Linked DNA regions of Arabidopsis thaliana. The protein of the gene in region 2 interacts with the protein of the main gene of each other region in a pairwise test. Each region holds a gene or a part of one and is shown on either strand. Other genes may lie near its edges.

Evidence for each region. Proteins that work in one complex are often made in the same cells at the same time.
Region 1: the proteins of SWEET9 (region 2) and DHAR1 interact in a protein complementation assay, tested with the Arabidopsis thaliana proteins (one large-scale study listed by BioGRID).

What each region holds. Positions count from the first base shown.
Region 1 is NC_003070.9:6,772,784-6,776,390, forward strand, and holds DHAR1 (dehydroascorbate reductase), read right to left. Parts: upstream 1,741-3,607; 5' UTR 1,631-1,740; coding exon 1,573-1,630; intron 1,449-1,572; coding exon 1,358-1,448; intron 1,172-1,357; coding exon 679-1,171; 3' UTR 519-678; downstream 1-518. Other genes in the region: AT1G19565 (uncharacterized protein), read right to left, coding at 96-187, 296-348; GAMMA CA1 (gamma carbonic anhydrase 1), read left to right, coding at 2,154-2,268, 2,523-2,666, 3,232-3,357, 3,460-3,607. UniProt on the Arabidopsis thaliana protein: Displays a dual function. As a soluble protein, exhibits glutathione-dependent thiol transferase and dehydroascorbate (DHA) reductase activities. Key component of the ascorbate recycling system.
Region 2 is NC_003071.7:16,305,952-16,310,316, reverse strand, and holds SWEET9 (Nodulin MtN3 family protein), read left to right. Parts: upstream 1-1,954; 5' UTR 1,955-2,110; coding exon 2,111-2,156; intron 2,157-2,385; coding exon 2,386-2,422; intron 2,423-2,496; coding exon 2,497-2,707; intron 2,708-2,838; coding exon 2,839-3,000; intron 3,001-3,087; coding exon 3,088-3,207; intron 3,208-3,298; coding exon 3,299-3,499; 3' UTR 3,500-3,826; downstream 3,827-4,365. Other genes in the region: EMB2799 (NAD(P)-binding Rossmann-fold superfamily protein), read left to right, coding at 81-145, 227-336. UniProt on the Arabidopsis thaliana protein: Mediates both low-affinity uptake and efflux of sugar across the plasma membrane. Nectary-specific sugar transporter required for nectar production by mediating the secretion of sucrose from the nectary parenchyma to the extracellular space.

The DNA of each region.
Region 1 (3,607 bases), on a different chromosome or scaffold from region 2:
ATAAAATCCGATTACCTTACGACTGCTGACGGTGCGACTATAACTGCCTTCTCCCAGGAACATTCTTGGAAAATCTCACCCAACCCTACATTCACCCGCCCAAGAACATTGTATCGCAGAACGATATGGTTGATTTGTGGGATGTAAAGATCGGTAAGACTCTCGAGTCTCGACAAGACTTATGTTTCTGAGGAAGAACTCCTCAAAACCATCAAAGGTGATCAGTTAAACCATAAAAACAGTTTCTGATATCCAATATTCATCAGTCCAAACTCCAAAGTATTAAACGAGTCACTTGCATTTGCAGAGACCCAGCCTCCAATGGATTTTTTTGTGGGTTTGATCCATACGGTCCTTGCGAAGAGCGACTTTACCTCCTTGACTATAGATCCTTCTTTTGGAGTTAAGACTTCTGAGCTTTATCCTGAGGTCAAGTACACAAGTACTGTCGATGAGTTTCTTAAATAATTTGTCTGAAAAAACCCTTGTCCCTTATGTTACGTGTAGCCAGTGTTTATCCGAGTTTCGATATGGAGGCAAATCTTATTTCAAAATAGGCTTCTTATTTGATTGATACAGTACATTACATAAAAAGGTCCAAGTACATTATTTGACTGATATAAGAGAGAGACCTTGAACAACATTACCACACCAACGATCTCATAACGGTGCATAGTTTCAAGGGTTAACCTTGGGAGCCCATCCAGAGATCACATACTTTTCCTCGGTCTTAGTTTTCTCAAAAGAGTCGAGCGAGAACAGAGTCTTCATGTAGTTATGGACATGGGGAAAGCTCTCAGGGACAGACCAGCTTTTGAAATGGCCAAGAGCAACTTGAAGGTGGTAAAGCTTTGGTGCTAAGCTTAGATCCACTGCGGAAACTCTTTCTCCGGCGATAAAAGGGCCATCGTGACTCTTAAGATGGTTTTCCAAAGCTTCTAGCTCAACAAGCAAGGCATGTTCAGATCCGTCATTGGAGTCTTTGCTCTTCAAGAATGTCCCAAAAGTACCAAAAATGTTGGATCCAACAGAGGCAAATTCAGCAGGAGTCTTGAGTGGTGGATCAGGATACTTCTCCTCGAGTATACCAACGATGACGTCGGAATCAGTCACCCACTTGTCGTCGATCTTAAGCACTGGTACTTTCCCTTGAGGACTAATGTCCAAGAACCTGCATCATATATAAAACCAAAGCCACCAATTTCAAGTTCCGGTTAACACAATGCTCGCACATGAAGCCAATCCAATTTCCGGTTAACACAAAGCTCGTACCAGTTACAAGTAAAATTTCAGAGATTATGGCTAAACAAGTTCAAACTAGACCGATCTTAAGGGTTTAGGCGTGAGAGAAACTGACCACTGGGGTTTGTCAGAGAGGTTAATCAGATGGATTTTGTAGGTAAGACTCTTCTCCTCGAGTGTGAGAAGAGCCCGTTGGCTGAACGGACCTAAAACGACAAACAAACACTTAAATTAGTAAATTTACCAACGATCAAAGCTCAGAAATTAAGAATTGCAAAATCAAAAGCTTAATGCAAAACAAAAACAGAGAGAGAAAGAGAAGATGGTTACAGTCGCCGAGATGATCAGGAGCACCAACAGCAGCTTTCACACAGATTTCCAGAGCCATCTTGATTCTTCTTCCTTTGTTTGCAGAGACGGATGAATGATTGAGTTAATCAGTGAGAAGGCTTAGCTTTTAAACTGAATTATTACCATTCTCCACCCACCAGTGGGCCATTTTTACCCGATGTTTATCTTTTCTCACGTGTTATGCGTTGCAAGTGACGACGATACGAAACGACATTGTTACTGATAGGGCCATTTGATTTTTGGTCGGCAGGTTTTGGACCGTTCAATTTAGTGAAAATATAGTAATAAATTCGTACCGAATAATATAATCGGTTTAATGAAACTACTACCTGAAATATCGAATTAGATTTGGTTCATATTTCGTATTGTTTTGGTTCGATTAAACCATATTAAACCACTGTAACTGTAATTTATTGTTTCGCCGTCCCGGAATGTTCCTGTTGAAATCCATTTTCGCTGATTTTTTTTCTTCCGTCTCTTCTTCAGCTTCGACCATTTTCGTCTTCTTCATTCAGTGTTGAGTCCTCGTTTACCTGTGAGCTCGAAGAAAGTGACGATCAATGGGAACCCTAGGCAGAGCATTTTACTCGGTCGGTTTTTGGATCCGTGAGACTGGTCAAGCTCTTGATCGCCTCGGTTGTCGCCTTCAAGGCAAAAATTACTTCCGAGAACAACGTAAGATTCTGCGTAACTCTATTTTTCACTCCGATTTCGAATTCGTAAAGAGTGAGGAGTTTCGATTGGGTAATTCAGCTCACCTATTCTGGTTAGGTTAGAGATCTGGAATTGATGTCTTTGTAGGTATAGCGATTCTGGATTCGAATGGCACAAGGGATTAATTGATGTGGAATGTGTTTTGCTGCTTAGTTTTTTTTTTGTTTCCTGGTCACGAAATTTGCTTATATGTAATTGTGGTTTTCTCTGTGTAGTGTCAAGGCATCGGACACTGATGAATGTATTTGATAAGGCTCCGATTGTGGACAAGGAAGCTTTTGTGGCACCAAGCGCCTCAGTTATTGGGGACGTTCACATTGGAAGAGGATCGTCCATTTGGTATGGATGCGTATTACGAGGTGAGCTAGCTACTAAGCCTCAATGTTTGGTGTTTGGTGGTTGACTATTTTAGTGACTGAAGTTTTGTTTGAAATAGTATCTACTTCTGTATCCTTAGCTGTGTCAACTCTTACGATAGAAAATAGTGAACGAATATCTGTTTTTTACTCTTCTGGTTAAGCGATGAACAAGACTACTACTCAAAATGGAGCTTTCTAGCTTTATTGAAGGATCTTAAACAGATCATTACTACATATCGTATCTTGATGATACTGGCAGTTGCTCTAATGGGTGATTGGGTATATGATATCCCCAATCATATACAGAATGCTTTCATGTCATAACACCAGAATTAGTTGAACGATATCATATACAGATTATTGAGTTTGAGTTGAATCCTTATTGCGAGTATGAGTTGGCTAGTCTGGATTTTTATTTAATGGTGATGAAATAGGGTTGTCCTTTTTACAGAATGCTTTCATGTCATAACACATTGGTACTGTATGGCTAAGCCTGTTAGTACTTTACCAGGAAACTGGGATAACATACAATCTAAACTTGCTTTCTCTCTTTTTTTCTGCGCAGGCGATGTGAACACCGTAAGTGTTGGGTCAGGAACTAATATTCAGGACAACTCACTTGTGCATGTGGCAAAATCAAACTTAAGCGGGAAGGTGCACCCAACCATAATTGGAGACAATGTAACCATTGGTTAGTGGGAATCTCTTACTCACTGTTTATTTTGAAAATGTTTAATATGCATACATCTCCAAGAAGCATTTGGGATATAGTCTTAAATTAAATGTGTAACAGGTCATAGTGCTGTTTTACATGGATGTACTGTTGAGGATGAGACCTTTATTGGGATGGGTGCGACACTTCTTGATGGGGTCGTTGTTGAAAAGCATGGGATGGTTGCTGCTGGTGCACTTGTACGACAAAACACCAGAATTCCTTCTGG
Region 2 (4,365 bases):
ATGCTGCTTTCGTTCTAACTTTGAGATTACTTTCTAACTTTTGATGAGACATCAAATGTTTGACCCCTCACTCTTCTCAGGCAAGAGGTGATGGACCTGATGGCTCAAAGCGGAAAATTTGATAAGAAGTTCAAAGGTTTTACAAGTGAGTTTCTTCAGACATTGACATGTAGTTGTCTTGAAAAACCTTAAGCTTCATGGAGTCTGACAACTTTGGCTTTTGTAGGCACCAGTGGTCCTTTAGGGAAGAAGCTGAACAACTCTAAGACACGAGCGGAGATAGGATGGGAGCCGAAGTATCCAAGCTTTGCCCAATTTTTTGGAGTATCGACATAATATTTTTACTTGGATTGATTAAGAATGTCTCTAGCGCTGAAGAATCCAATAATGTGAAGCATTATTTATGTTTGGTACAAACAAACTCATGTATCCTCTTGAGTGATCAAACAGCTGAAATTTTCAGAATTCTTCATAAAGCTCCATGGTTCATATATATAAATCATATTTTGTTAATTTACTTAATACAGTTAGCAAATGGGTTGAGAAGTAAATAATCAACGCAAACTTAATCAGTTTGAATAAAATATATAAACGTGGTTAGATCATAATAATAAAGCATCTTATAAATCATCTAATTAGATGGATTTTAAAGGTTTCTGTCAAGATGTAAAAGCTTGTGTCTTGTTCATTACCAAATTAAGATTCTAACAAAGAAATAGGCCAAACATACGAGGCCTCAGGTATGAGCCTAACAAACACATCCATGCCTCCATCTCACCCACATAATTTGATATGAAGGTTTCATTATACCTTTATTAATAAAAATACTTAATTCATTAACATGTTCACAAATCATCTCATTGGTGATATGTGCAAGCAAATAATCTTATCAGTTATCACATTTGGTTTCTTAACACCAGTTATGGAAGGTTGTTATAAGTTACACAATGTCTTATAATTAGGGTGATGGCCCATCACTGATGGGTGATGTTTTATCTATATATAAAAAAATCTTATATTAATTTGGCTATATACAAACATTGAACCAGATTCAGAGGGTTGCTAGGCGTATGATATGTCTGAAGTGATTAATTCGACTTTAAGAAATTTGTAGCCTAATGCAAAAATACTTTGTCGGATTTAGAAGGCCTAACAATTAGGAACAACACCTAATGCAAGACGTTCCAACCACCTGATTATTTATTTAAGTTAAATGTCACTAAATTTCTAAACTGCTCCGCAAGTTTTAGGGTTCACACAGAGTTGACACTTTTTGCATTGCATTTTGGGCCTTCATAGAGAGATGAGGAGTAATTACTAATTAGCTTTGTTTTCCGATAAAACTTGTGAAGAAATGAAAATGATATGTATATGTCTAAGAAAATCACCAAAGCTTGAGACAATTGATCTCATCCTAAAAATATCTCACATTATGCAACAAAATGTCTCCACATGTTATATTTACAAAATCATGAGTAACTTGGAGACGACATTGCAAATTAACATCATTGACATCAGTAGATACTCCATCGCAAATTGTCAAAAATCACAGCTCCATATTTTCAGGCCTAAAATTAACCACCGACCATACATCCCGTATTCTTAATATCGATATTGATTTTAAATGAAAGGAACTCATCGCTTAAGACAAAAAAAAAAACAAAAAAAAAAACAAGAAAGAAATTCGAAGTTATGGTTTCCTCGATCAGAACAAGTATTAAATTTGCATTAAAATTGGTTTAATAAAACGAGAAACTAAAGAATTTGCTGGTTGGCAAACTAAGAAGTCAGAAGTCACCAGCAATTTACAGCCAATCAGCTATGCAAAAGTTATACTATTTGCTACTGAGTGATCACATTATATTGTGCAGAAAAAAATAAAATCCAGGAAAACTTGAACCAAACTTTTGTTTTTTTGTTTAAAAAGAGAAAGAAAGAAAATTAAATAGGGGACAAAAATGAAAATGCAAGAATGACTCACTTTTTTTTTGGTTTAAGGGTTTATAAGAATGACTCACTTTTTCTCCAAGACCAATATAAAATGGAGGTTTGCATGAAGAAACTATAATTCAAAGCAGTCAACTAGCAAGAGAAAGAGAGAAAAGTGAAGATGTTCCTCAAGGTTCATGAAATTGCTTTTCTCTTTGGTCTCTTAGGTAATTTATTTCCCTTATTCTTTTATGCTTTTGAGTTATGGTCAGAATATGTAAATAAAATCAACAATAAAAGTGACGTATCATATATTTCCAACAGAGTATACATGTTCTTTATTTTTTATTTTTTATTTTTTGAACAACAGAATACATGTTCTTTATATTACTTAACATTTATACCCAAAATAAAGAAGTTCATAACACTAATATTGATTCTGGCTTTTGTTTTCAGGCAACATTGTGTCTTTTGGGGTGTTCTTGTCACCAGTGTAAGTTTCTAACTCGAAATGCTATATATTAAAATAGTTTATATAAAGTATTTGATTAATTATACATATTTTAGGCCAACGTTTTATGGGATATACAAGAAGAAATCATCAAAAGGGTTTCAGTCGATACCGTACATATGTGCACTAGCAAGTGCAACTCTTCTTCTCTACTACGGAATCATGAAGACACATGCTTATCTGATCATTAGTATTAACACCTTTGGATGTTTCATTGAAATCTCCTACTTGTTTCTCTATATCCTTTATGCACCAAGAGAGGCCAAGGTTCCTATAATTATATATTTCTATTTATAGTATGGTTGATATTTTTAGTATGTACACCTCTAGTTTCAAAAATCTTGATTGTGATGAAACTCTATATCTACAACTAATTAATCTGGTGGTACACTTGGCAGATATCCACGTTGAAGTTGATAGTGATATGCAACATCGGTGGACTTGGTCTCTTAATTCTTCTAGTTAATCTTTTGGTTCCAAAACAACACCGCGTCTCGACCGTTGGATGGGTTTGTGCTGCCTACAGTCTCGCAGTCTTTGCTTCTCCCTTAAGCGTCATGGTGATGATCCATCTATCAGCTTTTCTTCAAACATCTGCCGTTTTTTGTAGTGAATTGGAAATTAATATACAATGTGTAATGTTGCAGAGGAAGGTTATAAAGACAAAGAGTGTGGAATACATGCCGTTTCTTCTCTCCTTGTCTCTCACTCTTAACGCCGTCATGTGGTTCTTTTATGGACTTCTTATCAAAGACAAGTTCATTGCTGTAATATTAATTGACATTTTCACATTCATCTTTCAATATTCTAACTAGTTTTTGGTTACTAATAAGTCTCTCTATGTCGCTTTGTATTCAGATGCCAAACATTCTCGGTTTTCTATTCGGTGTAGCTCAGATGATACTATACATGATGTATCAAGGTTCCACGAAAACGGATTTGCCAACAGAGAACCAACTAGCAAATAAAACCGATGTTAACGAAGTCCCGATCGTGGCCGTTGAATTGCCTGATGTGGGATCAGACAATGTTGAAGGATCGGTGAGGCCAATGAAGTGAAGGGCAAACATGCATGGGGAAGATGTATGGGAGACGACATGTTATCGTATGTTGGAATAATAAACTTTAATTTCTATGTTTTGTCGGTTTGAGTCGGTCTAACCAAAACCAATGTTATATTGTTTTGACTTTTGATCATCACCAACCCTTGATAAAAGATAATCTAGTCTACGGTATTTAAGTCTATGTCGATGCGTACCTAAGCTAAGCTCCATGGAACTATCAGTTAAAATGCTTTAACAGTTGGAACTGAAAAAAATAATCAATCTAATCCAAATGGTTGTACAATCAACAGATGGAATAAAATATTTAGATGAATTTTCATTATTTATTTATTTATTTATAGTGGAACCACAGGAAAAAAATATTATAACTAATTTTGCTTGAAAAAGTTGAATTATAAGTTTTCTTTAATACATTGTTGGATATAATCACATTATTCTTCTATAATCCTATCCCATTTATGTGATCTATTTTATTCATCTTTTTACTAATTTCTCCCACTTTTTATTTTGGTCGGCACTAATTTGCTCTAAGGCTCTAACAACAACAAATCTTTACCATAACCAAGTTTTGATGTCGGCACAAAAAAAAGACTGAATGTGTCATAAATGGTTGCGTTGAGAGTTGAGACGTGTTGGTATCCTGCATGATTGTGCCGTGAGAGTCTGACTCATGCAGCAAGGACCTCGCTTTTCCGCAGCCACAGAAAAACAAGCTGATTGGTTCTGCTTTATGATTCCATTATTGAGCTCCCAAGAAATTGAATGTCATTTCTACGTTAGCTAATGGTTGTGTCGTTTTTTTTTATGGGAGTAGACTTGGTAGTGATAGGGCCAGATTTTTCATTTACCATTTCCCAAGAA